Linked DNA regions of Notamacropus eugenii. The protein of the gene in region 2 purifies or fractionates together with the protein of the main gene of each other region. This does not show direct contact. Links are inferred from orthologs where the notes say so. Each region holds a gene or a part of one and is shown on either strand. Other genes may lie near its edges. The genes, in order: ATL3 and RTN4.

The links.
Region 1: the proteins of RTN4 (region 2) and ATL3 purify together in Homo sapiens (affinity purification with mass spectrometry; 4 studies listed by BioGRID and IntAct, counting the BioPlex papers as one, with this or other methods). This does not show direct contact. The link is inferred for Notamacropus eugenii from reciprocal best matches to the Homo sapiens genes RTN4 and ATL3.

What each region holds. Positions count from the first base shown.
Region 1 is NC_092873.1:16,542,786-16,558,424, reverse strand, and holds the start of ATL3 (atlastin-3), read left to right. Parts: upstream 1-9,407; 5' UTR 9,408-9,511; coding exon 9,512-9,569; intron 9,570-12,928; exon of another isoform or gene 12,929-12,950; intron 12,951-15,639. UniProt on the Homo sapiens protein: Atlastin-3 (ATL3) is a membrane-anchored GTPase that mediates the GTP-dependent fusion of endoplasmic reticulum (ER) membranes, maintaining the continuous ER network. It facilitates the formation of three-way junctions where ER tubules intersect.
Region 2 is NC_092872.1:651,276,362-651,292,735, forward strand, and holds the start of RTN4 (reticulon-4), read left to right. Parts: upstream 1-7,723; 5' UTR 7,724-8,033; coding exon 8,034-8,601; intron 8,602-16,374. UniProt on the Homo sapiens protein: Required to induce the formation and stabilization of endoplasmic reticulum (ER) tubules. They regulate membrane morphogenesis in the ER by promoting tubular ER production.

The DNA.
Region 1 (15,639 bases), on a different chromosome or scaffold from region 2:
CTAGCCTCACTTCTCCTCCAGAGCCATCTGAATCCAGTGACCAGATATTCATCAGGATGACTGGAGATGACCCAGGATGAGACAATTGGGGTTAAGTGACTTGCCCAAGGTCACACAGCTAGTGAGTGTCAAGTGTCTGAGGTGAGATTTGAACTCAGGTCCTCCTGACTAGCTGCCCCACAGTAGCAATTAAGGGGCAAAGAAACTAACTTTTAAAAATATTTTTAAAATATATTTTTATTTCATTAAATGTTTCCCATTTATATTTTTAACATTCATTCCTTAAAGTTTTGGTTCTAAATTCTCTCTCTTCTTCCTGCTCTTCCCCTACCGCTTGAGAAGGCAAACAGTATGATAGTAATTATATGTGTGAAATCAGCCAACACATATTTCCACATTAACCATGTTGCAAAAGAAAACACACTCACACATAATCCTCTCCCCCCCCCCAAAAAAAAGAAAGAAAAAGTGAAAAATATGCTTTAATCTGTACTTAAGAGTTTATCAGTTCTCTCTCTGGAGGTGGATAGCATTTTTCATCATGGGTCCTTTGGAATTGACTTGGATCATTGACATGATCAGAGTAGCTAAGTCTTTTACAATTGGTCGTCATAACAATATTCTGCTCAGTTCACTTTGCATCAGTTGATAAAAGTCTTGCTAGATTTTTCTGAAACCATCTTTTTCATCATTTCTTATAGCATATTGGTACTCCAATCATAATCATATATCACAACTTGTTCAGCCATTCTCCAGTTGATGGGCATCCCCATAATTTCCAATTCTTTACCACCACAAAAAAAGTTGCTATAAATATTTTTGTACACACAGATCCTTTTCCTTTGATCTCTTGGAGTTACAGACCTAGTAGTGGTATTGCTGGGTCAAAAGGTATGCTTAGTTTGATAGCATTTGGACATAGATCCCGGTTGTTATCCAGAATGATTAGACTAGTTCACTCTTCTACCAATATTAATCAATGTACCTATTTTCCCTCATCCAACATTTTGTCATTCCTGAATGTTGTGCGTTGGTACTCTGTAATTGTTTTAATTTGCATTTGTCTAATCAATAGTGATTTAGCACATTTTATTTGACTGTTGATAGCTTTGATTTCTTCTTTTGAAAACTTTATGTTTATGTCGGTGTTCTTTGTCAATGGGGGAATGGCTCTTATTTTTCTATATTTGGCTTAATTCCCTGTCTGTTTGACAGATTAGGCCTTTACCAGAGAAACTTACTGTAAATTTTTTCCCCAGTTTCCTGCTTTCCTCCTAATTTTGACTGCATTCATTTTGTTGTGCAGTTTCATGTAATCAAAATTATCCATTTCACTTCCCATTTTCCTTTCTATCTCCTATTTGCTCATAAACTTGTCCCTTATCCATAGATCTGACAGGTAACTTTTTCCATACTCCCCTAATTTACTTATGAAATCACCCTTTATGTCGAAATCATTTATCTACTTTGACCTTATTTTGGCATATGGCCTGAGATATTGCTCTGTGCTTAGTTTTGGCCAAACTGCTTTCCAGTTTTCCTAGTAATTTTTGCCAGGTAGTAAAATCTTGCCTGAAGAGCTTGGGTCTTTTTGGGGTTTATCAAACACTGGATTACTATAGTCACTTACTACTATATAATGTGGACTTGTCATATATTACTATGTAACGTGAATCTATTCCATGAATCCACTACTCTTGTTTCTTAGCCAGTACTGGATAGCTTTCATTATTACACTTTGTAATATAGTTTGAGATCTGGCACTGCTAGGTAGTGAAATGCTAACTTTTTAAAGGATTAAAGACAAATAAGTTGTCTTTAATCTTTATTTCCACCAGGTGATTTCCTTTTTTTCCTTTTCTTTCTTTTGACTGATATATATTAAAACCAACTCAATATTTCTTAAAGCCCCTTGTATATAATGAAGGGCTATGCTAGAGACTGTGAGTGTGCTAGGGAAGCAGAACATAGTTACTGTCTTCAAAGCTACAAAAGAATGAAAAGAGAGTTGGTTAGGGGAGTTCTTCCCTCCCCCCATCCAAAAACTTACCTGAATTTAACCAGCATGGCTTTGCTCTATGGAACATGTTCAGTCAAATCCAAATGGAAATTCCAGCAAGAATTGGTCAATTGGAAGGGAGTGCTGGCAGGACAGGAGGGGGCTTCTTGCTATGGTCAGAAGTAGCCAGGCAGTATGGCATCCCTCCATGACCCAAATGATGACTCATTCTGTCCTTGGAACCTACTGATATTTCCAGAAGGCCTCTGAATGTACGCTCCTAGAGATGGTCAGAAGAGGCCAGTTACACGTTACATTTGGAGATTTCCCAGAGTAAATTCTGATTGGTGTATAACAAGCCAAAGGGAGAAATTGAGCTTTCAGGGTGAGCCCCAAAGACCAGCCTCGGGCTGTATTCTGTCAGGGTCTCAAGACTGCCTGGATCGTGAGGTACAAGGTATATCCTAAGGCAGCACCTTATTGTAGCCAAATGACAGTGGGAGCTGGGAGAATGTGCCCACTCTGGTGGTCTAGCTCCCAGCCCTATGAATGGTGCACTAGCAGATGCCTGTTTTTCCACTGTCTCCAACATTTATCCTTTCCCTTTTTTCAGATGCCTTCCTTTTGTAGGAAAGGCATTTGAGTCTCAAAAGGGCTAAGTGACATATTCACAGTGTCTGGTCCCTCCTACCTACCTGCTTATCCTTGGGCAAGTTCCTTGTCTCCAGACCTCTGTAAAATGAATTGACTTCAATTTCATTGAATTCAGCAAGCACTTAAATACTCTGTGCTAGGAACTAGGGACCCAAAGACAAAACAGTCCTCAAAGGGCTTATATTAGAGGGGAGGGGAATTCCATGTCTACATGCATAAGGGATCCCATTCCAATCCACCTCTTCCAGCAGATTGCCCCCTCACTTGTTTTTAGTCTCTCCCTATCCACTGACCATACCATCCCTCTCCTCATTCAGTAAACTCCAATGGCTCCCTATTACCTCCAGGGTCCCTGTGTTGGGCCTTCAAAACCTTTTAAAACCTGGACCCCTCCTTCTAGTCTTCTTACACTGTATTCCTCCTCCCACCTCAACTTCCACACTCTACGATCCTCCTAGTTCTTTACACAATGCGCTTCATTTCTGAATTCCAGGCATTTGCGCTGGCCATGACCCAAGTCTGGAATGCTGCTCTCCCTCATCATGTCTGTCTCTTTGTTTTCTTTCAAACCTAGCTAAAGGCCTATCTTTTATGAGAAGCCTTTCCTGGTCCCTCTTAATGCCAGAGCTTTCCCTCTGGTGAATAGTTCCAATTTTTTCTGTCTGTGTCTTGTTTGTATGTCGTTGATAGGTTGTTTCTCCATTAGACTGGGAGCTCCCGGAAAGCAGGGACGGTTTTCACCTTTATTTGTACCCCTGGCACATAGTAGGCACCTAATAAATGCTTATTGACTTATAAATAAGAGCATACAACATGATGTTGGTGTTTGTGGAGGAGACAATGGGAAGAACAAACATTCCAGGCAAGGGACCTGGCCAATCCAAGGGGATGTTGGGAAATGTTTAACCACCACATCTCAGACTGGAGCAAAGGACTCAGAAACAGTCAGGGGCTTAATGGACTTTGTTAACATTCTCTCCACTTTCTTAAGTCTGGACAATCAACAAAACTATAAATCTGGCTGAATTCTGAGCGCTGACAATGAATTTAACTATCTCTGGCTCTGGCTCACTTCTAAGCACAGTCTTTGCAAAGGCACTGAGGTGAGATAGGAATGTGTGTGTGAGTTCCAGTGTGGGGTGGGGTATACGGGGGAGTTGAGGATAATAAAAAGGCTTCAAAGGTCCCGTCCATCTTGTAATTCTGTAACCCTTGCTATCTACTTAAGTGACTTGACTCTCCATGGCCCCATTTGGGGTTTTCTTGCAAAGATACTGGAGAGATTTTGCCATTTCCTTCTCATTTTGCAGATGAGGAAACTAAGGCAAGCAGGTGAAGTGACTTGCCCAGAGTCATACAGCTAGTAAGTGTCTGAGGCCAGATTTGAACTCAGGCAGTTCTGTCTACCCAGTTGCCCCTACTTAAATGTCTACCACCATTTAATTTCCTGCTGAAGGATTTCCAATAGTTCCATTTATTTATTAATGAGTATTAATTGTCTACCATTGGCTCTTTATTGGCTATTTATTAATGAGTATCTTTTGAATGTCTAATCTGTGCAGAGTTTACCCCTCCAGTCTTCTTCCTAAACTAGTCCCAACTATAAAGGGCTGATATTGGAAAATGTTCCTTGCCTTGGCTTTAAGACAACAAAGAGGCGCCACTCCCATTATTTTCATTTTACAGTGGAGAAGAAAGTTAACCTGTGCCCAAGGAGACCCAGGGGTGAGGGCTGAGGCTTAGAGTCCACAACTCCACAGTCTCCAGGCTGTTGTAAACACCACCTGGACAGTGGCCAGGCCGTACACTTTGCACCAGGACTGTGGTCCCAACTTTCCAGTTTGCAAGAAAAGGAGTGGGAAGGGGAGAAAACTCCTGTCTATCTGGCACTGAGGAAACCAGTGGTGTGGTGGAATGCAATCTGGATTCACAGGCTTTGGTTCAAACTTTGTTTTGAATGGGTACTACCAGTGTGACCCAAACTCTCCAGGCCTGGTCACAAATCAAGAGGAAAGCTGGATTAAAAGATCTTTCTCAGGGGCCTTTCAAACTCAAAACAACAAAACACCCTTTTGATTTGGTGACCAGTTTACTGAGTAAAGGAGTCCAACTAGAGCTGGGCAGCACAGAGGGCCTTGGGATGGAAATTCCTCAATGGCCTCAGCTTCTGCTTTTGTCTTATAGTCCTAGAACTCAGCATAGCACATGGCCCAGGGGAGGAAAAAAGGAAAGGAAGAGGATACATATTTCTATGGTGCCTACTATGTGCCAAGCATTTCTATAGTGCCTACTGTGTGCCCAGCTTCTTGGAAAACTTTTCTCCTTTGAGCCTCACAGCAAGCCTGGAAAGGAGGTGCTCTTATGATTCCCATTTTGCAGTTGGGGAAATTGAAGCTGAGACAGTTTCAGGGACTTGCCCAGGCTCAAACAGCTAGGAAGTGTCCCAGGCCAGATTCTGACTTAGGTTTTCTAGACCCTTGAAGCTAGGTGGTGTTCTAGGCTGATAGCCCCAGCCTGGAGTCAGGAAGACCTGAGTTCAAATCCAGCCACAGACCCTTCCTAGCTGTGTGATGCTGGGAAACCACTTCAGCCATTGGCCTCAGTTTCCTCATCTGTAAAATGAGCTGGAGAAGGAAATGGTAAAGCACTCCAGTATCTTTGCCAAGAAACCCCAAGTGGGGTCACAAAGTGTCAGATACAACTGAGAAAACAGCTAAACAAGAACTTCTGGACCCCAGGCTCTTGATCCTGTGCTCCTAGCTGCTTAATAGGTGCTGGCTGATTGACTAGATTGGTTGATCTATGGTTTGTTCTGTTCCCTGCTGGGGCAAACCCTCCCCTCCCCCGACTTACCAGGCAGTTATTCAGGGTTGTTATGCTCCCCTCTCCCCCAGTTCTCCAACCCTTCTGTCCAATCACCCTTCAAAGCCTTGAAGTTGGCAAGTGAAATTCTCAAGGCTGGGCCTCCTACATCAGACCCACAGTCCAGCAGCAGGCCCAGACTGGAGTCCTTCCAGTTTGCTAGGACTTGCCACAGCTTGAGCTCTGCTGGCACTGCCTATGGAACCCTGGGTCACCCACAAATCACGATGAGTCATGGGAGAAGGCCTTCAGTGGAGGAAAGGTTAATGGGACAGTAAAGGACCCTGTGCACCTGAAAACTCCCTTGTGGCTGGGGGTGGGGGGAGGTCAGAGGGATATTTACTTGTGCCCTGTGCCTGCACCCCTGCCTGGGCACATTCCAGCTGCTCAGGCAGCTGCTTCTAGACGGCCTATTTCTGGGTTGTGCAGCCACCACCGCCGCCACCACCACCACCACCACCACCACCACCACCACACAGATATGTGAGCATCTGTATATATGAGTGTGTGTGCATTTGTGTATATATGTGTGTATTTGTGTGAGTGTGCCATTTCAGGGCAGCCCAGCAGAGAGGGCAGGGTCAGTGGCATGGAAAGCAGGAGTTCCTTCTGGGTCCACACCCAGATATTTCTTCTTCTGCCAACTTCTGAACCTTCCCAGCCCTGCCATTTATGACTCCTAAAACTCTTCCCTCTGGGAAGGCCTCACCTGTACAGTGGGGGCTGGAGTGGAGGATCTCCAAGGTTGGAAGTCTGTGGGTCTAAGGAGAAGCCAGCCCCTGGATTCTATTATGAGATTTCACAGGCAAAAAAAGGAGGACCATAGCCTCCTCCCTGGCCTCCTCCCCACCTTCCTCCCCGGCCTCCTGTCTGGCCTCCTCTCCTCCAACCCCCTGGTTTTTCTTTGGTGTGTGCTTTGTATTCTCTTCAGTATAGACCCATTGCCTCCTGGCCAGGCATGAAACTCCTGGAGGGAAGGAATGGATTCCTTTTGGTCTTGATATGTTCAGGACCTTGGTGGTGCCTGGCACATAGTAGGCACATAGATGGTGATCAGTGCTTGTTGACAGATTGATTCATGGTCAGCGGTTCTAGACATGGCTCTTGCTGAGAAACCCTGGGCAGGTCACTGACCCTGTTTGTGTCTCAAATTCCTCATCTGTGGAATGGGAATGATAACATCAGTCATTCCTCTCTCAAGCAGCAGTTTGGAGGATCAACTGAGATAATATTGATAAAATACATTGCAAACTTTTATTCTTGTTCAGTCATGTCCGGCTTTTAATGATGCCATTTCTTGGCAGAGATAGTGGAGTGGTTTGTCATTTCCTTCTCCAGCTCATTTCACAGATAGGGAGATGGAGGCCAACAGGGTGAAATGCCCTGCCCAGGGTCACACAGTTAGGAAGTGTCTGAGGCCAGATTTGAACCCAGGGAGATGAAACTTCCCTGTTCCCAGTCCAGGGCTCTGTGCACTGTGGCTGCTGCCCCCTAGCTGCCCGTTGCAAACTTTAAAGGGCTATAAAAATGCCAGTTCTCATGATAGACCCTTACCATTGTCTTTTGTGTTATACTGTATTATGCTCTGCACACTGCTTCACAGCATGTATATGTACATCATGGCAGGCAGGATGACAGAGTCAGGAGAAACCTGGGTTCAAATGCTGCCCCTGGCCCTTACAGGCAGGGTCACAATGGCTAAGTCATTTGGTATTTCATTAGTGTTTACCTCCGTAAAATGGGACCAGGAATACTTGTGTCTCCTGCATCACAGGGCTGCTGCCAATGTTGAATGAGATGATGTATTTAAAGAATTCCAGGCATCAGCGATTATTATAAATAGTCTCCTGTGACCTCAATACTCACCAGAATAATAAGAATTCACGCTAATAAAGTGAGTAAAGTGTTTTTCCTAATGTCAGTCACTTGAAGCAGCTTGTTCAGCTCTTACCTGAACCCATTTCAACAAGGAAGAAGCTATTGCCCAAGCCCACGATGCTGCCCAGGGGCAAGATTAGAACTCAAACCCAGGTCTCTCCTGACTCTACTTGTCTGTTGAAAAGGCCACTCTGAGCCACCATGGACTGGACAAAATCACTTAGCAACCAAATATTTATTGAGTAATGACCGTATACACAGTCCTGTGTTGAGTCCTGACTGGGATCCAGTTTAGGTAAGGAAGAGGCCCTGTGCTCACTGAGTGGATGAACAAGAACCAGCATTTGGGCACAGCCTCTGGGAATTGGAGGCAGCGGTTCAAAGGGCACTCCTTGTCTGGGCCTCACTGTGTCTTGTAAAATGAAAGAGCTGGACTATGCCTTTCAGCTCTATGTTTGCTCCTGGGTCCCACATTTGTACCCGATTCCTCAGGCTCATTTGTCTGCGTAGAGCCTGAAAGAAAGTGGTCAGGAGGGTGTGTGTCTGTGTGTGTGCCTCAGGTCTGATGACCCAGAGGATGGATGGCGATCATTAAGCAAAGCCAGCGGCAGAGAAGGCTCTTTTCTAGGGTGCCTGAGGGCCACTAATGACACAGCAATTATCCTGGAGACAGCCTGGATCATGACTGTGCTCCTGGAAGTGAGGTTACCCGTCTTTATCGCAGTTCAGTCACATCCTCTTCCTCCTCCCTGGGATCCGTGCAATTTTGAAAATACAGCAATGGTTCACTTGTAGGCTTATGGGAAGGGTCCTTAGAGATCATCTAGTCTCACCCCTCGTTTTACTGGAGAACAGAGGTCTGGGGAAGAACAGGGACTTGCCCAAGGTTACACAGACAGTTGGTGGTCACGGAGATCAGAAACCAGTACAGAAGGGCAGCCTATTTCTGTGGCCTGAGAGTGTTTCAGGACCAAAACTCTCTCCGGTAGAATGTGATTGTTTTCATTTTCCTTTGATTGCTGGTTCTAGGTGCAGCGTTTGATTAGGTGGGTACTCTGTCAATGCTTGTTAAATTAAATGGAATTGAATACGGCTGGCCTGGGCTCCTGGCACATTACTGTGCCCTTAGTAAGTGCTCATTGACTGACCGAGTACTGAAGGTCACTGAGCCCGAGGCAGGGAATTTAAGTTCAGCTGGGGCCTGCGCTTGGCTCTGCCAACCTTCACCCTTGTGCTCTTGGGCATGACAGAGGACGTCCCTGGGCCTCGGTTTACTCGTTTGTAAAATGAAGGGTTTGGGTGAAGCTTGGCTGCAGACAGCCCCAGATTTAGCAGCAGAAGGCCTTCTCTGCCCTGTGCTGGCGGTGGACACTGAATCTCTTTGGGCCTCATCTACAGTGTTCCCCTCCCCGGGGCTGGACAGGCTGATCTCTCCAGCCTGGCATAGCTCTAGGCCCCCACTGTCTCCCTCTTCCTTTCCCCCTCCCCCACCCTCCCCTTGGCCTGCTGGGAGTGGTAGTTTAGTGTCACACTAAGGCGAAGAGATCTGGTTACGCGGCCTATGTATCCCCACTAGAGGGGATGCCGCTGGAGGGCAAGGCCTGCTTTTCTTTATTTTGAGCTTTGCAGCAGCAGCCCTTCCTGGCACAGGCCTGGACCCTCGTGGGTGCTGCTTTGGACACGAAGCACCGGACACGCGGTCCAGCCCGCAGGAAGCACCTAGGCAGGCCACCCGCTGAGCGCCTGCGTCGCCGCTTGGCCTGCTGGGAGTTATGGTTCCGTGGGAGGCTGAGCCCCGGAGAGTCGAGCTTCCCTTCTTTGCTGCCGTGATTCCGCATGGACTGCTGGGAGTTGTGGTTTCTTGGGAGCCCCAGAGCCTAAGTGAGCGCCAGAGTGGTACTACGTTTCCCAGGAGGCTGAGGTGGGCGGGGCTGCTGCGCGGGCCTCGCCGCCGGCCGGGCCCGGGTGCGCGTGCGCAGCCCGTTTCTTCTCGCTGCCGAGTCCCCGCCCATTTCCCGCCCAGCTCCGCCTGCCCGCCCTCTCGGCCGCCCTCCCTCAGGCCCGGCCCGGCCCGGCCCGCCCTCCCCCTGCCGCCCGGGCTGATGAGGAGGCGGCTCCATGTTTTCTTTTCTGGGAACGGCGGCGGCGGCCTCATCAGAAAGCGGGGAGAACACAGGTAACCCCACGCCCCCCGAGCCCCGGGCCCTTCCTGCCTCAGTTTCCGCCCCTGTAAAAGAAGGCCGCAGGACTGAGTGGACTCGGGGGTCCTCGGCCCTCTCTGCCCCTCAGCTCCTCTTCCGTAAAGGGAGGGGCTTAGACCGGGTGGTCTCCAGGCCGTCCCGGCTTCAGTTTTCCCGTCTGTCTAATGAGGTCGTTAGACCAGGACCTCCGATCAGACCCCTTCCCCTTCCCGGGCCTCAGTTTACCCTTCTATTGAAGAGCCGAGGCTAGTTGGCCTTTGGGGGTCCTTCCCCTTCTTGGGCCTCAGTTTCCCCCCGTGTACAACGAGGGGGTTGGCGGAGCTGGCTCCGTTTGTAAGTTTGTGCGTGGCTCCTCCCCCTGCTTTGGTGTTGGGCTTTTTCCCGAGTAGGTGGGTTCCTTCTCTCCACCCCCTCCATTTCTCCGCGTGTTCCTGCTTGTGCCCCGGAGCAGTAGGGTGAGGGGGCCCCTCCCCTGTGGCCCCCTGCCGGGTGACATGGGGAATGGGGCATCCTTCCTGGTGATCAGGAGACTGCCCTCTTTGGGGTGGGTTGGAGTTGAAGTTTCCCGTCTGAACTTGATTTCTACCGGTCCTGTTTGCCCCACCCTTGGGCACCGAGCACAGTAGTGAGTGACCCCACCAGGGGGTGATCCCCGTTAAAGGTCCTCCTTCCTTTGTAGACTTTTCCATCCCATTGGACTAGAAAGTTTGAAGCAGATGCTTTTGGCCATATTAGGGTGGAAGGATGGAGACAGGGAGATGCTGAAGGGCCCGGGCTAGTCATTACAGGCAGAATTCCTCTTAGGAAAGAAGACAGGGTTTGGAATCCAGACCCTTTGAAACCCAGGCCCTGCCTTCTGGTACCAACCTGTGTGTCACCTAGGGCAAGGCTCCCCTTCCTGCGCAGGAACATTGAACTGAGGCCCTTTTTCATGGCAGCTGTGGTCCTGCCACCTGGAGTCTGCTTGCTAGCTGTTACTCAACTTTTATGAAACCTGCCCTGGGAATGGTGAAACTTAAATTATTTTTAACCTGAATCTTTCTACCTCAGGGGACTGAAACCAAAAGTGTGGTAGAGAATTTGGTGTTCTATCAGGTTTTGTTTTTTTTTTTAGCTGACGAAAAGAATATGAACTTCAGTTGGAGAAAATTTTCTAAAGTTTTTGAGTACGTTTCCTTTTTTTTGAAAAGAGAGCAAAACGACAGTCATTGAAGTACTGACACTCCCCCCTCCCCGCTTTTTCTTTGTGACATTTGGAAGTTTCTACAGGTTCCATTTGTGAACTTTCTAGACTTAAAAGATGAGTAAGGAGCCTGGGTAGGAAAACTTCTCCAAAGCCAACAAAGTTCAGGTCCCCTGGTTTGAGGAGTTGTATTGAAACTGTAGTGGAAAGGAGGAGAAAACACTAAGTAGGGGCCCCAGGGCAGGCCTCCTGCTTCCACTAGGAGCAGCCTTTTTTTAGGGAGTCACTTTTAATGGATGAAATAATAAAAGGAAGAACTGCAGTTTTACAAATTTGTTTTAGAATTTTAGCTGTGTTCTCAGTCTGTGATTTTAGAGAATTGCCTGAGGCCCTGAGAGGTTAAGTCATTTGCCCAGGTCTCTGGTCCACTGCCTGTAATAGGTGAGATTTGAGCCCAGATATTCTGGACTCCAAGTGTTATACTGCCTTTTCTGTCACATATATGATAATGGGGGGAAAAGTCCCAAAAGGACATAGTATGGTATGGTATAGTATAGTATAGTATGGCATGGTACCGTATGAGATGGTACAGTATGATACGGTACAGTATGGTATGGTATGGCATGGTACGGATAGTGGTGTGGGGGCTGCCAGACCTGGCTACACATTGACTTAGCAAGCCACGTATTAACATCATCTGTGCTTTATTGTATTTTTACTTATTTTGTTAACTATTTCCCAGTTACATTTTGTTCTGGTTTGGCAGCTGTGCCTCAGGCCCAGGCCTCTGCTGTAGTGGATAGAGGGGTAGTGCAGCCATGAAGAGCTGCATTCAAGTTCTCACTGACACATCTTGGCTGTATGACCTTATCTTGGTGCTCTAGGCAGGGGTGGGGAATCTGTGGCCTCAAGGCCCTCAAGTTTGGCCCTTTGACTAAATCCAAACTTCAGAGAACAAATTCCCTTAAGAAAAGGATTTGTTCTATAAAACTTGGACTCATTCAAAAGTTCAAAACCAAGGACTCAAAGGGCCACATGTGGCCTTGAGGCTGCAGGTTCCCCACCTCTGTTCTAGGAAGCTCCTGAAGATTCTTAAGTTATAGAGAAGGAACTAACTGCATCAGTTGAGTTTTTTCTCATCTGGAAGGGCTTCACACCAATGAAATCATAGGTTGGTCCTTCTCCCTTAGAATTCCAGGATTCCCACACTTAATACTTTGTTTTACGAAAACGGCTTTGTCTTGTGATGGATGGCTCTTAAAGTTCTCGTTGTTAACATGACACTCTAGGAAAGGAAACTTTTCTTCGCTTGGCAATTCTGTTCATGACTGTTTTCGTATCTGACACTGTAACCTCCTACTGCCTTCTAGGATCAAACTGAGAAAGAAAGCATTTTGTAAAGCATCCTGTCAATGTTAGCTAGTATTATTTTGGAAGAATTAGACTAGGGCAAATTCTTGAAAAACAAAACAAAACAAAACTAAGGTACCAAACAATAGTTTAAATACATTTTAGCATAGAGAGAGCACCAGCTGTGGAGTCAGCCTCCCTGGGCCTAAGTTTCCTCATCTGTAAACTAAGGGGGTTGGACTAGGTGACCTCTGAGATCCCTTCCAGCTCTAGAGTAAGGATCCTGTTTTAGAAACATTGTATCCTGGTAGAAACCTTATGGTTGGGTCTTTTCTTTGGTGGAAAGGATGGTGGATGATATAAAAAATCAAACATTGTATACTTTTGAGATGCTCTACGTGGACTTTCTATTAAGGATTCGCCTAATTGGGTTGCCTCTTAAGGAGCCTAAGCTTTTGTAAATACGTGGACTTTCTAGAAACTGTAGGGTCAGAGAGTGTGATTTGCTGTTCTGCATTCTGGTACAGAGTAAATATATTATGGCAGGATTTATATGTGTAAAGGATTTATATCCTTTATGGGATATGTTCTTAAAGTGTTCCAAATCATTCTTAAAGCATTCACTCTCTCCTCATTTTAACAAATGGGCTTTTGAAACCAAATTTTGACTGTGATTCATTTTGGGATTTCCCATAGGTGCAGATCTGTAGCTCTTCTGCCCAGAATCTGGAGAGAGAGAGAACAGAGCTCTTTGGGGACTTGGAAGGTTCCCACAGTCACTGTGTCATCCCCTCCACACGAACCCAGCTCATCTGCCCTTGAGGTAGCTCTCCTGCCCCTAAGTCAGGTTGCTTGGCTCCATTTGGGAACTTTCCTTTGAAATCTAAGGACACCTCCTAGAAGTGAAGGAAAGAACTTCTGACCTTTTCAGTTTGTTAGATGCTAACGTATTAACAAAGGTCCTACAATCAGCACACAGTAGTGGATTTGGAACTTGGAAAGGTCTACATTTTGTGACATGCTTTATAAATTCTAGGGATCACAGGATGAGAACTGGAAGGACTTTTGAAATTGTGTCTGGTTCCATCCTTTTACAGAGGAGTAAACCTAGGCCTGGAGATGTGGCCAAGGTAACGCTTTAGGTAATTCAGAGCAGAGCCAAGGTTGGAGCCCAGGTCTCTCTAGGTCTGTTGATTTTCCATTCAGTCAGCAATCCTTTAGTAACTGCCTGTGATGTGCCAGGTACTGTGCAGGTCTCAGCAGCAGCTGTGATTAGAGATGGTGCTGCTCCATGCAAATTTCTGAGTTACCAAAACACTTCCAAAATATATTTGTTGCAATTGTCACTGATGGATTCAGTTGTCTCTACAGAAGGTTTCCAGAGCTGTATCTCTAGCTCAAGACTTTCCTGAGCTCTAGCCTGGTCTGACCTGCTCTATGTTCCATGAGCACCTCAGACCCAAACTGTCCAGAACAGGACTCCATAACCCTCACGTCTCTGTTTCTCTCCCAGACGCATTTCCTTTGTGGCCTTGCCTGTGTTCATATTAAGGCCTGCTGCCTTCTCAGAGAGCCAGCCCTTGTGGCTTCCACCTCCAAAACGATCATGCTTCAGTTCCAGTCTTCACTGACTTATGTCCCTACCTCAGTTTTCTTTCTGAGTCAGTCCATCATCTGTAGAGATGCCAGCTTGATTTTCTTAGAGTACGTAACTGACCACATTCTTGACACTCTGTATTTTCAAGAATAAACTCATGTATTTGACATCTGAAATCCTTCCCAGCCTGGCTTTGACCAGGTTCTTATTGGTCACTCCTCTTTATGGACTTCACAGCGTAGCCAAGCATCTGGCTTTTCACCTGTGGCACTCCATTTCTTGCGCATGGGCTGATAGGCCATGCCTCATGCCTGGAACCTACTCCATTCTCACCTTTTCCTTTTGGAAGTACAATGAGAGCTCCCAGAAGGCCGAGTTTGTTCTCTATATCTTTAGTGTGAGGCACATAGTATGCACTCAGTGAATACTTTTCCATTCCATTTCCTTGCCTTTGCTTGTCCATGCCTTGACTGCTGGATGTGCTAGCCCACATTAGACCTATTGCCTTTGTTTTGTGTGAGCTAAAACATTCCTGGAAGAAAAGAAGGTGTTGCTCTGCCTCTGGGAATCTCATGTGACAGCTCAAGAGTCACTATGCACACAAAGCCTTTCTGGACCATCTGAGCTGCTCAAGCTGCCTCCAGCCATGTACCTCATGTATGTCCATGTCTCCTTGATAGAATATGAGCATCTTGAGGACAGGAACTGTTTTCACTTCTGTCTTTGTTATTTTTGACTCCTGAAGTCCAATAAGAATAAATTTGTGCCATGTAGGGCAGTGTGCAGCAGAATGCTGGGAATGGTACTGATAATTCTCCTATCTGTGGCACTGTAAAGTTTAAAAAGCACTTTCCTTATGACAACCTTATGAGGTGTGTACCTTATGAGGTGCAGGAATTTCCCTCATTTTACAGATGAGTCAAACTGAGATTTAGAATAGCTAAGTTACTTCCTTTTCTAAAAAGAAGCTTATCATTTTTACTTTTCAGGTAATAAGGTATTTTCAAAATTCACTTGTCTCTCCTACTACCCCACTCCCTATTGAGTAAATTTAAAAACAAACATAATAACAAAAGTGAAGAAAGTTCCCTTTAACACATCTACGTAGTTAGACAAGTTCCCACGTTAGCCATGTCTGAACATGTATCACTTTCTTCCTCTCCGTCTCTCTCCCTGTCTTTGTCTTACTTCCTGTCTCCCTCTCTGTCTTTGTGTCTCTCTAGTCTAAGTTTGTCACTTTCTCTCAGGAAGTGAGTGGTATGTTTCAACTTTATTCTCTTGGAATACTGGTTTTACTGATAAAAGTTTTGAAGTTTTTCAAAGTTATTTTTCTTCTACAGTGTTGTCGTTGTTCTAGTTCTGTTCACATCATTCTGCATCAATTTATAGAGAACTTTCAGGTTTCTTCTGAAATTGTCCATTTCATCATTTCTTATGTTACAATAATATTCCATTATACTCATACCCCACAATGTGCTTAGCCATTCCTTAATAGGATACTCCCAAGTTTTCAATTTTTGGCTATGATGCAAGAATTTCACAGTTGCTTCCCTGAATGCCTGGATCACTTTGTAAGCAGTACACTAGTTTACCTGTTTTCCTGCAATCCCTGTAACATGGATCATTTTCTCTTTTACCCATCTCATAGGTACCTCAAAGTTGCTTTAATTTGTATTTCTCTGGTTAGTGATTAAGAGTATTTTTTTCATTTGATTGTTGATATATGAATTTCTTCCTTTGAAAACTGCTTGTTCATAGCCTTTGGTGATTTATTGATTGGGGAGTGGCTCTTAGTCTAATAATTTACATCAGTTTCTCATATATATCTTCAATGAGACCTTTAGCAGAAACTTGTGGCAAAGATTTTTTCTGTTACCTGTTTCCCTTTTAATATTTGTATTAGATTTGTCTGTGC
Region 2 (16,374 bases):
ATTTGGAAACTAAGACCCAGAGTAAATTAACTGCCCAACTTTGTAAAGTTAGTAAGGGGCAGAGCTCAAAGATTCTAAATCCAATGGTCTTTCCACCATATTCCAGCTGCTTCTCTTCCCATATGCTTACTAGCAAACCAAGTAAGCTGATTCCAGATGTTTCTGTGGAGTAAAAGGCAATTTTCAAATGATTATTATTGCTACATGTTTTTGTCTGTTACAAATTTTGTGATTTTTAAGCTCTCCTCATATCTTTTAGTTCTAGACACCAATTACCATTTATTCCTTACTCCTTTATTTAATTATACTATTAACAGTATGCAGATTCAATCATACTCTTAGGCACAAGTCAAATAATTTAATTTCTTAGAAATAGCTGAAATAATAGATAATCAAATATCACATGTAGCATCTTATATAAAATTATATATCATCATCATAGTTACAATTGTATTGTGCTTTAAGGTTTGCAAAGTGCTTTACGTGTATTATCTTGTTTGATCCTCACATCAACCTATAACATAAGTGGTATTGTTATTCTTATTTAACAGATGAGGAAACTGAGGCTTAGAGAGGCTAAGTGATTTGCCAAAGGTCAGTCTGACCTCAGTAAATGTCTGAGACTGAATTCAAACCCAGGTCTTCTTGACCCCAAGTATATCACTCTTAACCACTACTACAGGTGCTTTTGTTTTTCCATTTTGTTTTTGTTTTTTGGTAGGGTGGATAGGTGGGGGACGATTGACGGAACTGTGTTGTTTTGTTGTCTTTCTGTTAATTGCTACCGACTATTATTACAATGATCATTTTCTATGATGTCAATTTTTTTTTTTTGGTAAAACTTATGGATGAATGAAGACAAATCATCCTTTGAGACTATTTCAGTTGGAGCAAATGCAAAGGCAGACATGTGACTACAAGAATCTTACATAACTAAGTTGAAATTGATAGATGAATTGCTTCCGAAATTTCTTATGCTGCATCACTAATCCGTATACATAACTGAACATTTCAGAAGGATTTTAGCAGTTCAGGTTAAATTAAGGTTCTTGGGCAGAGGGTGGGAAAAGTTGAACTGCCACTATGTATCCTGTGTGCTTAATAGAAAAATCCATTCTACTAAAGAGCTTTTCTTCAGTACATTCTTATATGTACTTGTGTGCCTACATGTGGAATATATATGTGTGTGTGTATGTATATATGTACATATGAGAGAAATTTATATTTTTAGTGATCTGACACATTCTCAAAAGGATGTGTCCTCAACTTAGATGAACCTGCTAATGTGGATTGTCAGCCCACCCATGGCAGCCATTTCTATATGAATCCTGTCCATGTTTTTCCAGAAATTTACTCCAGGGGATCCACCTAACATGTGAAGGGCCTTTCCCACTTTTTCTGACTTTGTGTGTGAAGATACTGGTGGAGCACATGGGGTCTTTAATTGAACTATCAGACCAGCCTGTCTTCTTTTTTCTCGTTTTCATTTCCCCAATGATTCCTTTTACTTAGTTTTTCTTTGAAGATTGTTATTTGCTACATGTTGGAGTTCTTCATACCTATCACGTCTCATTCCATGACCCTCTGATCATAATATTCATTTTTAATTCTTCCAACATTGTGATATTTGACATCTGGAAGCATTACAGCAACACTAGTTGCTATTAAAAAAAAAAAAGATGTACCTTTGCTTCTGGAGAAGATTGGGCTTTAAAGAAGCTTTGCAATTTCCTAAAAGCAATTCAGGCAGCTCTTCTGATTAATCGGGAGGTCAATTCATTTTTCATTTGTATTGTCTTTCCTGGATATAGGTACTGATAGATAAGCTCTAGATGTCCCTCTCACTGCATGGTGTTATCTGGTTATTTATCCATTTATCCAGCTTTTCCTGTGTCGATTTTCCCCCCTTTCAATTTGATGAATAATTTATAAATGTATTTCATCAGTTTTTAAAAATCAATTCTTTAGCATGTCTTTTCTTTAAAGGGAAAATTTCAGAATCATCTTTATATCACTTCCTCTCTATCCCTGCTCTCCTCTTGCCTCCTCACCCTAGTTATAATCAGATACATTTTCCACAGAATTTTAGGGTTGAAAGGGATTTCAAAAGCCATTTACCTGGAAAAGACTCTGTCTATAGTATACCTGGCAAGTGTGCATCTGGTTTTAGTAGCACCAACATGCTATTCACAGGTCTACTGCACCCATGAATGTGCTGGCACAATTCTGAGTTGCGAAATACAACAGACTCTCCACATGGAAGACAGAACCAAAACATTTATTCAGATACCAGAAAGCCAAATCCATCATAGTAACAAAGAAATGTATACATAATAACAATGCAGAGGGCAACACCATCCCCAAGCCTTCCCTCTCTTAGGCTTCCCACCAACCAGCTTCCTTAAACAAAATCACAATCTCACTCAAACTGGCCAGCTGCCTTTCCCAGTTCTGATTGCTCTCTAACTTCCTCTCAGCTCTGCTCTAACCCCACTTCTTCCTGTTCCACCCTTCCTACTCCACCCCTTCCAGTTCCATGTGACTCAGGCTTCCAAGTGATTTAAGCAGGTCAAATGGGTCTATTAATGAATGAGAAAAATCTTCCCATTAAGAAGCAAAATTACATTAACAATAAGCAAAAATGCATTATCCATATACTTTCTAAAAAGGGCTCTAGCAAAGGGGAAACTGAGGATCCCAAATTAAGCCTATGTTTGCCTCTTTGTAAGTTTCACCCATGGCTCCTACTTTTCTGCACTCGCAGTCAAGCAGTGACATCGCTCCAGGGGTTCTCCGTTGTCTCCAGGATCAAATAGAAGATGCTCTGTTTGGCATTCAAAGCTCTTCATAACCCGAATCTTTACCTTTCCATTCTTCTTACCTCAGATGACACTGGAGGAGACAGTGAGGCTGATGACTTTGCACAGCCCTGTCTCACCTAAATCCAATTTACTTGCAAGTAAAGACATCACCCTGCTGATGTCATTAGTCCTGTTCTAGAACAAAGGACAAACATCAACAGCTGTCTGCCATGTACTTTTCTATCCAGTGACTCCATTTCTCAGCTCCGAACATTTTCTCTGACTGTCCCCCTTGCCTGGGACACTTACCCTTAATGACCTTACTGGCTTCCATTAAATCCCAACTAAAATACCATCATTTACCAGAAGTTTTCCCCAACACCTCTTAATTCCAGGGCCTTTTCTTAATTGGCTCCTATTTATCCTGTATAGAGCTTGCTTTGAATATCTTTATTTGCATGTTGTCTACTTCATGGGATTGTGAATTCCTTGAGGGTAGAGACTATCTTTTGCCTATTTTTGTATTACCAGTGTTTAGCACAGTATGTGGCACATAGTAGGTGCTGAATATATATTTATTGATTGATTGAAGGAGAACAAGTCTGTCTCTTCTACATTGTATGGAATCAAATAGTTGAAGATAGTTATCATGTCTGCAGTCTCTTTTTCTTCTGCTAAGAAATATGGTGGTGGATCAGTGGAATAGATTAGGTACATAATATATAGTATTTGAGAAAAATTGCTGGGAAAACTGGAAAGCAGTTTGGCAGAAACTAGGCATAGCAACCTCTCATACCATATACCAAGATAAGGTCAAAATGGGTAAATGATTTAGACATAAAGGGTAATTTTATAAGCAAATTAGGGGAGCATGGAAAAATTTACCTGTCAGGTCTATGGATAAGGGAAGAGTTTATGACCAAACAAGAGAAAAAGAAGATCACAGGAAGTAAAATGGATAATTTTGATTACATGAAATAATTTTTTTTACACAAACAAAACCAATGCAGCTAAAATGAGAAGAAAAACAGTTAACTGCGAAATACTTTTATAGCAAGTTTCTCTGATAAGGGCCTCACTTTTCAAGCATATAGGTAACTGAGCCAAATTTATATATATATATATATATATATATATAAAAAGAACCATTCCCCAATTGATAAATGATCCAAGGATATGAACAGGAAGTTTTGATTAGAAGAAATTAAAGCTATCTGTGGTCATATGAAAAAATGCTCAAAATCACAACTGACTAGAGAAACGCAAATGAAAACAACCTTGAGGTACCACCTCACATCTATCAGATTGGATAACAAGAAAGAAAAAGGAAAAGGCAAATGCTGGAGGAGATATAGAAAATAGGGACACTAGCAAATACCATTATTGGTGGAGTTGTGAACTAGTCCAACTATTTTGGAGAACAATTGGCAACTATCCCCAATGAGCTATAAAACTATGCCTATCCTCTGACACATCAATACTACTACTAGGTCTGTATTCTAAAGAAATCAAAGAAAAAGGAAAAGGACATATATGTACAAAAATATTTATAGCAGCTCTTTTTGTGGTGGCAAAGAATTAGAAATTGAGGGAACGTCCATTAATTGGAGATTGACTGAACAAATTGTGATATATGATTGTGATAGAATACTATTGTGCTGTAAGAATTGATAAGCAGGATGGTTTTTAGAGAAAAACTGGGAAGATTTATATAAACTGATGCAAAGTGAAGTAAGTAGAACCAGACCATTGTATACTATAACAGTAATATTGTACAATGATCAGCTGTGAATGACTTAGCTATTTTGTCATACAATCATCCAAGACAATTCCAGAGGACTTAAAATGAAAAATGCTTTCTCTAGAGAAAGAACTGATAGAGTCTGAATGCAGATCAAAACATCCATTTAAAAAAAAAACTTTTTCCCCTCTTTTTTCTGTCTGTTTTCTTTTGCAACATGGCTAATCTGGAAATATATTTTGCCTGACTGCACATGTATAAGCTATAGCAAATTGCTTGCCTTTTCAATGAGTGGGGGAGGGGTGGGAGGAGGGAGAGAATTTGGAACTCAAATTTTAAAAAAAGAATTTAAAAAATATTTTAAAAAAGAATTAAAAATTGTTTATGCATGTAATCAAGAAAAGTTAAAAAATAGATAAAATAAATTCAACATGTAACTTTAAAAAAGAGTATTCAGTACAAAAGGCCTCCAAAGAACTCTTCTATCCATCAGAGAATCTAGTATTATGCTGGGCACACAGTAGGTGCCCACTAAACATTTGTTGAATTTATTTTTAAAAAATGTTTTATTCTGAACTTAATACCAAATAAGATGAGCATTTTCATATAGAAAGAATAGAAAAAGAAGACTGTACATGATGCTACAAATATATATGCTTTACAGATTGCTCTTTTTAAAAAATATGTAATAAGTTCAACATGTTATTTAAAAAACAACAAAAAAACCCTGTGCCCAAAGGGCTAAAAAAAAGTGCACACCCTTGGACCCAATAATACCGCTATTAGGTTTATATCCCAAAGAGATCAAAGAAGAAGGACCTACATGTCCGGAAATATTTAGAGTAGCTCTTTTTGTGGTAGTAAAGAATTGGCAAGTGAAGGGATGCCTATTAGTTGGAGAACGGTTGAAGAAGTTGCTTTGTATATGTTTGTTTGCATGGGTCCCTCATTATGTTGTAAGCTCCTTGAAGGCAGGGACTGTCTTTTGCCTCTTTTTGTATTTGTGTTTGTATTTGTATTTTTGTATTTGTGTTTAGCACAGAGCCTGGCACGTATTAGGTACTTAGCAAATGTTTATGGAATTAAATTCTCTGAGCTAAACACTCCCATTCCTTCAACTGACCAACTGTGATATAAACTGATATCTCTTCACAATTCTGGTTGCCTTTTCACCTGTCTCCTAAAACTGTTTTTAATCACTTAAAAGGCAATATCAATGGGCACTGAAGTGACAAGTATTAAGGGCTATCTGGCTATGCCATGTCCTATGCTAGGACCCTCTCAAACTTAGAGCCTCCTTCTCTTCAAGGTCCAGCTTGGGCATCACTTGTGCCATGATGATTTCCCTGATCTCTCCATTCTCTAGCTGAAAGTGTTTTCTTTTCTCCTCAAATTTTCTTCCAGTCCTTTGAATCTCTCTTTTGTCCTTTTCACAAACTAACTTTGTATTCTACCTGTGTCCTTCTTGTACTCCCTGCTACCTCTGCTGTCATAGAAAGAGCACTAGTTCTAATTTCCAAACTTTGAGCAAGTCATGAAATATCCCTGGCTCTTGGTTTGCTCCACTGAAAAACAAGGGAGTTGGACTAGATGGTCCCAGAGGGCTTTTCTGTTGTTCCAGATCATTGTTCTGATGACAAGGGCAGTGGTGTTTTTCATCTTTTTATTTCCACTATTTAGGACAGTAGTTTGAACACAGTGGACCATCAATCAATCAGTCCACAAGACTTTATACTGGGCTACGTACTGGGGATACAAAACCACAAATGAAAGAGCCCTTGCATCTACATGTCCCAGTACATAGAGAAAAATCCAAAATGAATATGAGATAACTTAGGTGATGAGGCCACCGGCCCTTATATGCTTGTTGAATTGAATCTTTGAATTAAAGGCAAGTTACAATTGTGGGAAAGTCCTGGGCCATAAAGTTTCATAATTTATGTTTAATCTGCCTTAGAGAAGTGATCTGGCCAAGTAGAGAAGTTTATCATATTCACATACATGAAAAAGGATACATTCAACATTCCCTCTTCCTGGAATGAAACTGCATAGTCAATTTCAGCCTTAGTCAAGATCATTTACAAGAGTCATCTTTTGGACATGTTTGAGTTTTGTTTAAAAGATCATTCTGAATAACCAGCAATTCCCAGTGGCAAATGAGGGGGACACCTTGGAAATGAAGACTACATTGGAAACAAAGAAAATCTAAATTCCTAGCTTGGATACGTTGGAACCAGTTTCTCCAAATTTCAAGCATTGTAGAAAGTGAAAAGAGGGCCAAGTCCCCTCCTACAAATAAAGTGGAGCACTGAATGCACCCCGAGCTTCAGACCCCTGCAATCCTCAGCAACGTTTAATGACAAAACTGAGTTGGCTGGGAATGTAACGGGAATCTAGTTAGCTCCCAGACACAGGCAAAGGTCTTCCCGTTCGGCTCCCACCCTCCGCCCGGATGACTCATCTACCCATCATGTGAAAAGGCCAAGCGCAGGCAGGATGGGCTACAACGTCCTGGCAGGGAGGGAACCGCTCGTTCTCTCCTCCCCCCCCTCCCCCCCGCCCTCACCCCAAGGCTTTGGCGTCTTCTGTCTGCATCCCAGGTCACGGACTGGAGGGCACAGAGATTTCTTGAATATGGGGGTTAATTTTGGGGGGCTCCTCAGTGAGAGGAAGAAATCACTTTGGCATTTTTAAGTCTTTTAAGTCTGTCTTGTTTATTGAATTAAAAGACTCTCCCCGCCTCCAGGATCCATTACACCTATTATTTTTTCCAGTTCCGTTTTCTGCGAGGGAGGATTTTCCCTTCTCCAAATGCCTCCCAGTCCCCATATCGGGGTACTTCTCCCACCCTTTAACCGATAAACCTGCCCAGTCCAGGCAGCCAGCCCTAGCCCAGGCCAGCATCCCCAGGAGGCCTGGGCCAAATCCCCTGGTCCCTAAGCCCCTCCCATGGAACTTCACTCCCCTCCTCCCCTCCCGCGGCTAGAGTGGGGCTGCAAAGCCGGCCCCTTGGTTCCCCTTCTCGTTCTCATTGGACAGCTCTGCCCTTCTTTCCCCGGATCCCACCGCCTATTGGCTCGTGCTTTTCGCAGGCCCGGCCCTTCTTTTCGAGCCCCGCCCCGCCCCGCCCAGTGCCGCGTTTCTCCCCGCCGGAGTCGCGCCAAACTGGGCGGAGAGTGCCTTGGCTCTGCCATCTCGCCTCTCTCCGCCTTCCTCCTTCCCTCCCTCCTCGGTCTGGGCGGCGGCGGGGCCTGGGGGCTGGTGGGTGGCGCGGCGCAGCGCAGAGCAGCGCAGCTGCGGGCGCCGAGGCAGGAGGAGCCGACTCATTGTTCCGCAGCCGCCGCGCCCCTGAGCGCCTCTCTCTTGGAGTCTCTCAGTCACTCCCCGTCTCCGTTCCTCTCGGCGCTTTCCAAGAGAAAGCCCTCCCCGCCCCACAGCCTCCCTTCCCCGTCCCTCAGCCCGGCCGCAGCAGCATCCTTCCCAGCCCGGCCATGGAAGACCTGGACCAGTCGCCCCTGGTCTCCTCTTCGGGCGCCGCCGCGGGCCCGGCCCGGCCTCAACCAGAGTTCAAGTATCAGTTCGTGAAGGACCCAGAGGACGAGGAGGAGGAGGAGGAGGAGGAAGAGGAGGACGAGGACGAGGACCTGGAGGAGCTGGAGGTGCTGGAGAGGAAGCCGGCCGCCGGCATGACTGCGACGCCGCCGCCGTCCAACGCCGCCGCCGGCGCCGCGCCCCTCCTGGATTTCGAGAAGGAGCCGGTGCCGCCGGCCCCCCGGGGACCCCTGCCCGCGGTGCCCCCCGCAGCCGCCGAGCGGCAGCCCCGCTGGGAGCCCAGCCCGGTGTCCTCGTCCTCGCCGTCCCCGCCGCCCTCCGCAGCCGCTGCCGCATCCTCGGAGGAAGACGAGCCTCCTTCCCGCCCCCCTCCCCCTCCCCCAACGGCCGGCGTGGGCCCCCACCCAGATCCTGCGCCCCCTGCCTGGACCCCGAGCACCCCGGCTCCGGCCGCGCCCCCCTCCACCCCGGCCGCGCCCAAGCGCCGCGGATCCTCGGGCTCTGCCGGTGAGTGAGCGTCCGGCCCGGGGGGAGGTGGGGGAGGGGGGTCCCGCCCGCTGCCCTTCCCACCTCCTTGGGTGTGGAGCCCCCTTTCTGCCCCCCGAGAGCTTTGTCTGCCCCTGGCGGGAGCGAGGTCGGGGGAGGAGGGTGGGGCCGGGGGGGGCGATGGTGGTGGTAGTCATGGTGGTGATGGTCAGCCTGGCCTCCCTCCGACTTTATTGTCTGCGCCTGGGCGGCTGGGGCCATGTGCGTTCTGTGGCAGCCCCGCAGGGCCCCCACACCCTTCCCTTCCCTTTTCCCTCTTTGTTCCGGGCCGGGAGAGACCTCGGAGGATGCGTACATGAAGGAATGGAGAGGGGGGGCGGGGGGGTTGGATTTTAGCGTGGTGCCCGGACCCATGCTGGGGAAGGGGCGCCCTCCTGCCGCCGCTGCAGCCTGCCCTCGGCGGGCCCGCCTCTGGCTCCGTGGTGCCGGCAAGAGCGCCCCCAGCGGTGCCGAAGGGGCGGGGGGGGCCGTCGCCACCGCCCAGTTCTCCCGGACTGATGCCTATGATGTGGCGTCTGTGCTGGCAGCTGCTGGAGCCCTGGCTGGGTCGTGCCTTGGCAGGAGGGGCACACCTGCCGGCTGTCTGCCGCAGCGTGGGACGGGCTGCGGGAACCTGTACAGGCGCATGCGGTCCCTGAAAAAGCCAAAATGGTTGACGCTAAAAGACGAAGCAAAAAGCCCCCGAACCTGTGGATTCTTGGAATAGAACCAGCCAATCGAGAAAAATAACATTTTTGAGATGTCAGTGGTTCTTTGGGTAGTGGTAGATTTAAAGCATTTTTCTTCCTGTCCGGGCATTTGAACTGGTACTTCTCTTTGCAGCATTTTATTATGCAGGATTTTTTTTTATGTTGGATCGATTGGTAGCAATGAATTCTTTTTAGTTTAAAAGACTGAATTCTGTAAAGCTTGTGAAGATTACTTCAACTCTTATTTGAATACTTGAATATGTAGTACTTTTATTTTTTATGAATCTTCCATCTTAGCCAGGAGTTCCTTTTGAAAGGAAACTTAAGCTTGTTAAAAACTCAAGAAACTTCATTTGTTTATTGGCTTGGATTTTTTGATTAATACAAGATACTGCTGGGAAAGGAAGCAATTTTATCAGTATAGCAATTATGTAGGTGGTCAAGAACTAGCCATTGTAATCTCCTGCAGAATTTATTAATAAAACCATAGAACCCGTCAGGAGTTAAAGAGATTACCAAGATATTAACCTCATCTTACAGAAAGGGAAAACCAAGCCTCGGAGGAAAAGTGACTTGTTCAAGGTCACACTGTAGTATTTTTTTTTTTCCCTAATGAGAAACTAAGAAAAGACCTCTTTGAGTGTTTTGTATTTTGCTCAGACACAAAAGAAAATGTTATTAAGGTGTAAAGGATATCCAAATAATGAGGCTAGTCATTCACCTTCCTATATTTTGTATCAGAAACTTTTGGTTGTGGAGACTATCAGATATATTTGGGAGATGTCGGAAAAGATGGAAAAATAAAAGTATGAAAGAGAAGTAATTTGAAATATGGAGACAGTATACCTTAGACAAAAGAATATTATTTAGCGATCTTACAAAGACTTTTGGAAAGGAACTGAACTTATGAAAAGTGATTATTGATAAAACTCTCCTAGTATCCTGCTGACTTATGGGTTCAGAGGGCAAAAAGGGGAAGACTTGCTTATTTGGAGATGACCTTTATTCAGTTCTGTTTTATTAAAGATACACTGTGAAATATGCTGTGAGAGAGAGATACAAATTGAAAAATGACACAGAACCTGCCCTCTAGGAGCTTAAATTGGGGGGGGGGGGTGAGGAGGGGGGTGACATGAGGAATATGCAGATATTTGTAAGAGTGACATTAATATGACAAGTCCCACATAAATGAATGCCTGCAAACAATATTGAATCGAATTATAAAAAACATTACAGTCATCTTCACAGTTAGTGTTTGCCAAAACCAAGAGCAATTTATTTGGGAATGTTGTTTGTTCTTTGTTTCACATAGTATCATGTTTTATTAAACTAGCCCTGAAATCCATGGAAGTGTATAGAATTTAGAGCTGAATGAGACATTAGCAATCATTTACTTCATTTTATAGATGAGGAAACAGGCCCATAGTGGGTGTCAAAGGACCTTGCTCCACAAACACATAGTAAGTTAACAGGCCTTGGATTTGAACTGAGATCATTTCCCAATATAAAACTTTTTAAAAAAAACTATACCAGTTTCCCTTTGTGCTTTTATAAAGATTAAGTATCTTAAAATGAAAAGATATTAAGAGTAATAGTCATCATTATTACTGTGCCTGAATCAGATCCCAAGAACCATATCCTGAGATGGGTTTGAAGTGTTGAGAAGGGCTTGTTGCAGCTAGATAGAGTCAAAGATATGTAAGTCTGACTTAAAATTCTGCATTTGGAATTCTGACCTGTGACTTCTAACTCAGAAATTGTGAGTGTGGAGTAAAGGTGTGTAAGCAGGTTATCTTTTAACTTAGGCCTTTTACCTGGCCTCATTGCTTGGATGCCTTTATTGTACTGTTAGGCTCTCATAGCCTTCTTGCTTGTGTGTTCAACCTCATGGGGCTTTTTTTCCCGTTAAACACAATCTCTATTTCTCTTCTTCCCTCCCCCCCCCACCCCCAGTTTGACGTGGAATTCTGAGTAGCCTTCTGAGGATGACTCATTATTTTATCCAGTTTATATTGGTTAGATATTTGTAGAAGTATTTTTCCAAATAGGAATGATCAACTGCATTGTCTCTTGCATCATCCTGTGTATAAAATGGTGCCTATATCCTGAAGCATAGTGATAATGACCATTACAACTCTATTTTAGAAGAACTTTTAAAAATTTACCGAATTATATAAATTTGAGGCCTCCCAAAAGCTTTTCCTGGGGAAACTGTTCATTTTTTGACAGGGTAGTAATGGCACAGATATTAAGCTTTAACAACATCTATTTGTGGGGAGGGATGTCATTGGGTTATTTACTCAGTGTGGTCTACTTTTTCTAACTAACTACTAATGCATAATACTTTTGTGCTTACTAGGGGCTCTGAATCACTGACTCCTTCATCCTTGAATTGTCTTTACCTCACTTTATAACTTAATTCTTTTTTATGCTTTTTCTGGAATTTTGTTAAAATAAAATGAAGTTGTGACCCTTTAAGGGAACCCAATGACAAAAGTAGAATGATTAAACTGTAACATTCTAAGACACTGGCAGTAATTTAATGGCTAAGTTTTATCTTCACTTTTGAAGGTCATCAAGGCCTGGAACACTTTTAGTCTTAATTTTCCTTGACCTGTCTGCAGTATCTTTCACCTACTCTTTTTCGCTGTTATTCTTGAAGCCATGTGGTTTTTTCTTACTAGTATTCTTTTCTTTCCTTTGCAGTTCCTCTTTTTCTCTTATCAAATTTGAGTGTTGTCCAAGTTGTAGTCTTAAACTAAATGTCCTCTATATAGTATATTTCTTCAGAGACTTTCTAAAATTCTTTTATCTCTGTAGTCATTATTTCTGTAGAGAACTTTCCAATTCTATATTTAGTCACAATTTTTTCCTTAGACTTCCTAATTCTTAGTTATATATACTACTTATCTTCAGTAGGCTTGCTTACAACATCTTTGGGACAATCCATGAGTAGGCAGAATGATATAGTTGATATGTGTCTCCTCCTGTCTATAAACATGGTTTTGATTTCTTCTGTTTTTATATATTCCTGATGAACTTACACACAATTGACTGTTCCACTGTCAGTTTAAGAACACTATATCTAAAACTCAGCTGGTTGAAATAGTGAAAAGGATACTGAATTTGAGATTAGCAGGACCTTGGTTCAAATCTAGCTCTGACAGTTGCAGCTGTGCAAACTTATGTAAGTAACTTTATCTCTTAAAGCTTTAGTTGCCTCATATTTACAGTGAAGATAATGTTAATGCTTTTCTCATGACAATTCTGTGAGCTAGATAGTGTTTTGTAAACATTAAAGTGCTACAAAAATGTTGAGTAATATAGTGTTGTTGTTTCAAAACTAGCTCCCTCTGTTCATCTTGCTTGTTGTACTTACTGATATCACAATTCTCTATCAGTCTTGAAACATCAGTCATCTTTATTAATTTAGCTCATATTTTTCAATAGACAAATAACGTTCCAATAGAAATGTTTTAGGACAAGTCACTGTCATGCTATTATTCATTTGTATTTGATGTTTACTGATTGCAAGGTGGATAACATAACTACTTTTTTTTTTTTTAATTAATTTATTTAACTTTTAACATTCATTTTCACAAAATTTTGGGTTACAAATTTTCTCCCCTTTTATCCCCTCCCCTCCCCAAACACCAAGCATTCTAATTGCCCCTATGACCAATCTGCTCTCTCTTCTATCATCCCTCTCTGCCCTTGTCTCCGTCTTCTCTTTTGTCCTGTAGGGCCAGATAGCTTTCTATACCCCTTTACCTGTATTTCTTATTTCCTAGTGGCAAGAACATTACTCGATAGTTGATCCTAACACTTTGAGTTCCAACTTCTTTACCTCCCTCCCTCTCCACCCCTTCCCTTTGGAAGGCAAGCAATTCAATATAGGCCAAATCTGTGTAGTTTTGCAAATGACTTCCATAATAGTTGTGTTGTATAAGACTAACTATATTTCCCTCCATCCTATCCTGTCCCCCATTACTTCTATTCTCTTTTGATCCTATCCCTCCCCATGAGTGTCGACCTCAAATTGCACTCTCTTCCCCACGCCCTCCCTTCTATCATCCCCCCCACCCTGCTTATCCCCTTATCCCCCACTTTCCTGTATTGTAAGATAGGTTTTCATACCCATAACTACTTTTTATAAATGAATACAAGTATTGAGTTGCACACTCACCTTCTGTAAGCTTCCTATAAACATTTTTGGGGTAGTCCATCAATAAGATGAATCATGGAAATGATACATGCCTCATGATTTTGATTTCTGCTACTTTTACTACTAGAATCTTCATGCTTTCCCCCGAAATGTCTTTGGTTTGTCCTTTCTCGTCTTGACGGTCCTTCCCTCCTGGCCATTTTGTAGTTCTTTTTATCTTCAACATACTGGCTCTCCTGGGATATTGAAAGAATTATAAGACTTCCTGTTCTTAACTGGCTAACAACCTGATGAGATAAGATGTCCACGTTAAAAGTCAAAGCAGTATGTAATCATCCTCTTAATTCATCCTTCACGTAGCTACCAAATGGATATTTCTGAAATACAGATCTAACTGTGTTACTCCTTTCTCAAGAAGGTTCATTGGCTTCTTACTGCCTGTAAGATATAAAATCAACCAATTTCTTTGGCATATAAAGTCAAAGGAATCCTTACATAATGACTAGTCTGGCACATGATATCCATCTGTATCTGTGCATTCTGCCTGGAGCACTTTCCTTTTTCATCTCTACCTTTTGGAATCCTTAGGTCTCCAAGTATCATCTCATGTGAGATCATTCTTATTAACATTCTTCCCCATCCTCCAAATTACTTTGTATCTATTAGGATAATGTCTGGAGCATGGTAGGTGCTTAATAGATTTTTATTAAATTTAATTGATATGATATAAATGAGTGATAGTATATCACATAACATCCTTTTGTTTATCCTTCAAACTTCTGAGTGACTTTTCTATCTCCTCTCCCCAGTTCTGGTATTTGTGTAAGGGCACAAGTTTATTCTTTCCATAGCTTTCATAATTTTTTAGACTTAGATTACATCCACTCTCAGGTTTATCAAATTGCCCATCTTAAAGAATTTGTTTTGCTTTGTATGAAAGGGATAGAATTGTTCTCCTAGGAAAAATGACAGAATACCAGATTGATAACATCTATTGATAGATCCACTAATGAGATTTTTCCATTTTATCTGAGATAGTTTATTATTTAAAGAGTATAGATTAGATTAACAAATTTTATGAATGATGGCCCTTGGTTCTAATTTATTTGAGAGAGAAAAAAAATCCAGGAATACGTATGAAAATTTTCTTGCACACATCCTCATTAGAAAATTATATGGTTACCATAATAAACTTGACTCTGATTTGTAGAATCATAGAATTGTAGAGTTGGAAGGAGCCTCAACATCCATCAGGTGCAATCTGTACTTGAAAAGGAATTCTCACTAGAATATATCAGATAATTGGTCTTCTAGATTTTGCTTGAAAGGAGGAGGAACAGATAAACTTTCAAGGCAGCCTTCTCCATTTTTTTAGACAGCTGTAATAGGAATGTTTTTCCCCTCCTCAGAGAACAAATTCAAATTTGCCTATTTGCTAGATATAAACAAGTTTAATTTCTCTTCCACATGTTTCAATACTTGAAGAGAGTTTACATCATTCCATGACACCTTCCTCCCCCTAACCCCCATTCTAAACCCCAGGCTAAAATATTTCTAATTCCTTCAACCTATCCTTATATGAAATCCCATGCTGGGATCATTTGAAAATTTTAGTGGGCTGCAGTCTCAGTTTGAATTAGTATTATGATAACCTCTAACTACAAAAGAGCTAAATTAGGTGGAAAGACAGGTGAAGTATGTCTGCTGTAAAGGAAAATCACCACAAAATTGTATTTCTTTTTAGTAGAATAAGTATATAAAGGTCATCTTAAATTATCAGGTCACATTTAGAGTGTTTAGTAATACAGATATACTCTTGACATATATGTATGATGATAGAATTTTTCTTATAACAATTATAATTGTGTTTATCATTAATTTCCCTTGTGATAAAATTTTTCTAATGTAACATTCTCACAAAAATTATTAAGTATTTGCCATTGACTAAAGCCAGGAATACAGTGAATTCTAATGCTATTTTAATTTCTTAAACTTAAGTGCGTTAGTTTTTCCCTCATACAGTGAATTTCATTCATAGAATGGTTCCCCCCATGGTTTGGTTAAGAGTAGAAAAATGCAGATAACTAAAATTCATTTGTCTTTACTGTCATTATTTTACATCTGTGTTTTAAAGTAGAAAATACTATTTCGATTAGTGGCCACCATAGAGAATAGGTATTTTTTCTTGGTATAATGATTTGACAAACATTTATTAAGTGCCTGCTGTGTTCAGAACTGTGTGCTAAACAGGGAGGGAAGTATAAATCTTACTGTTTTTACATGATCCTTGTCTTCATGGAACTTAACAGTGTGGTAGAAAATTATAATGTACATTGACATTTGTAATATATAGTATTATGCATTGTTTCACATATATTAGTTGTGAAACTCTTTATGAAATATAATATAATAAAAATTCAGATGTGCAATGTTCTGCATCCATATTTGGTAACTGAATATGCAAGATGGAGAAAAAAGAATCAAAAGATTTTGACATGGGAGATTAGATGAATGATACCATTGTTAGCATACAAAAGGGAACTTGGTTTTGAATGTATTGTGTTTGAAGTTAGTGTGTGAAGTTAGTGCGGCGTTGACACAGAAGACCATGCCATCAGAGAAATGATGACATGACTTGCACTTGACTTTGTTTTGAGTGAGTGAGGGCTGGGTAGGTCACAAGCCTCACTTCTCACCCAGAGCCATCTGGATCCAGTGACCAGATATTCATCAGGATGACTGGAGATGACCCAGGATGAGGCAATTGTGGTTAAGTGACTTGCCCAAGGTCACACAGCTAGTGAGTGTCAAGTGTCTGAGGTGAGATTTGAATTCAGGTCCTTCTGACTCTTGCACTGGTGCTCTCTCCACTGCACCACC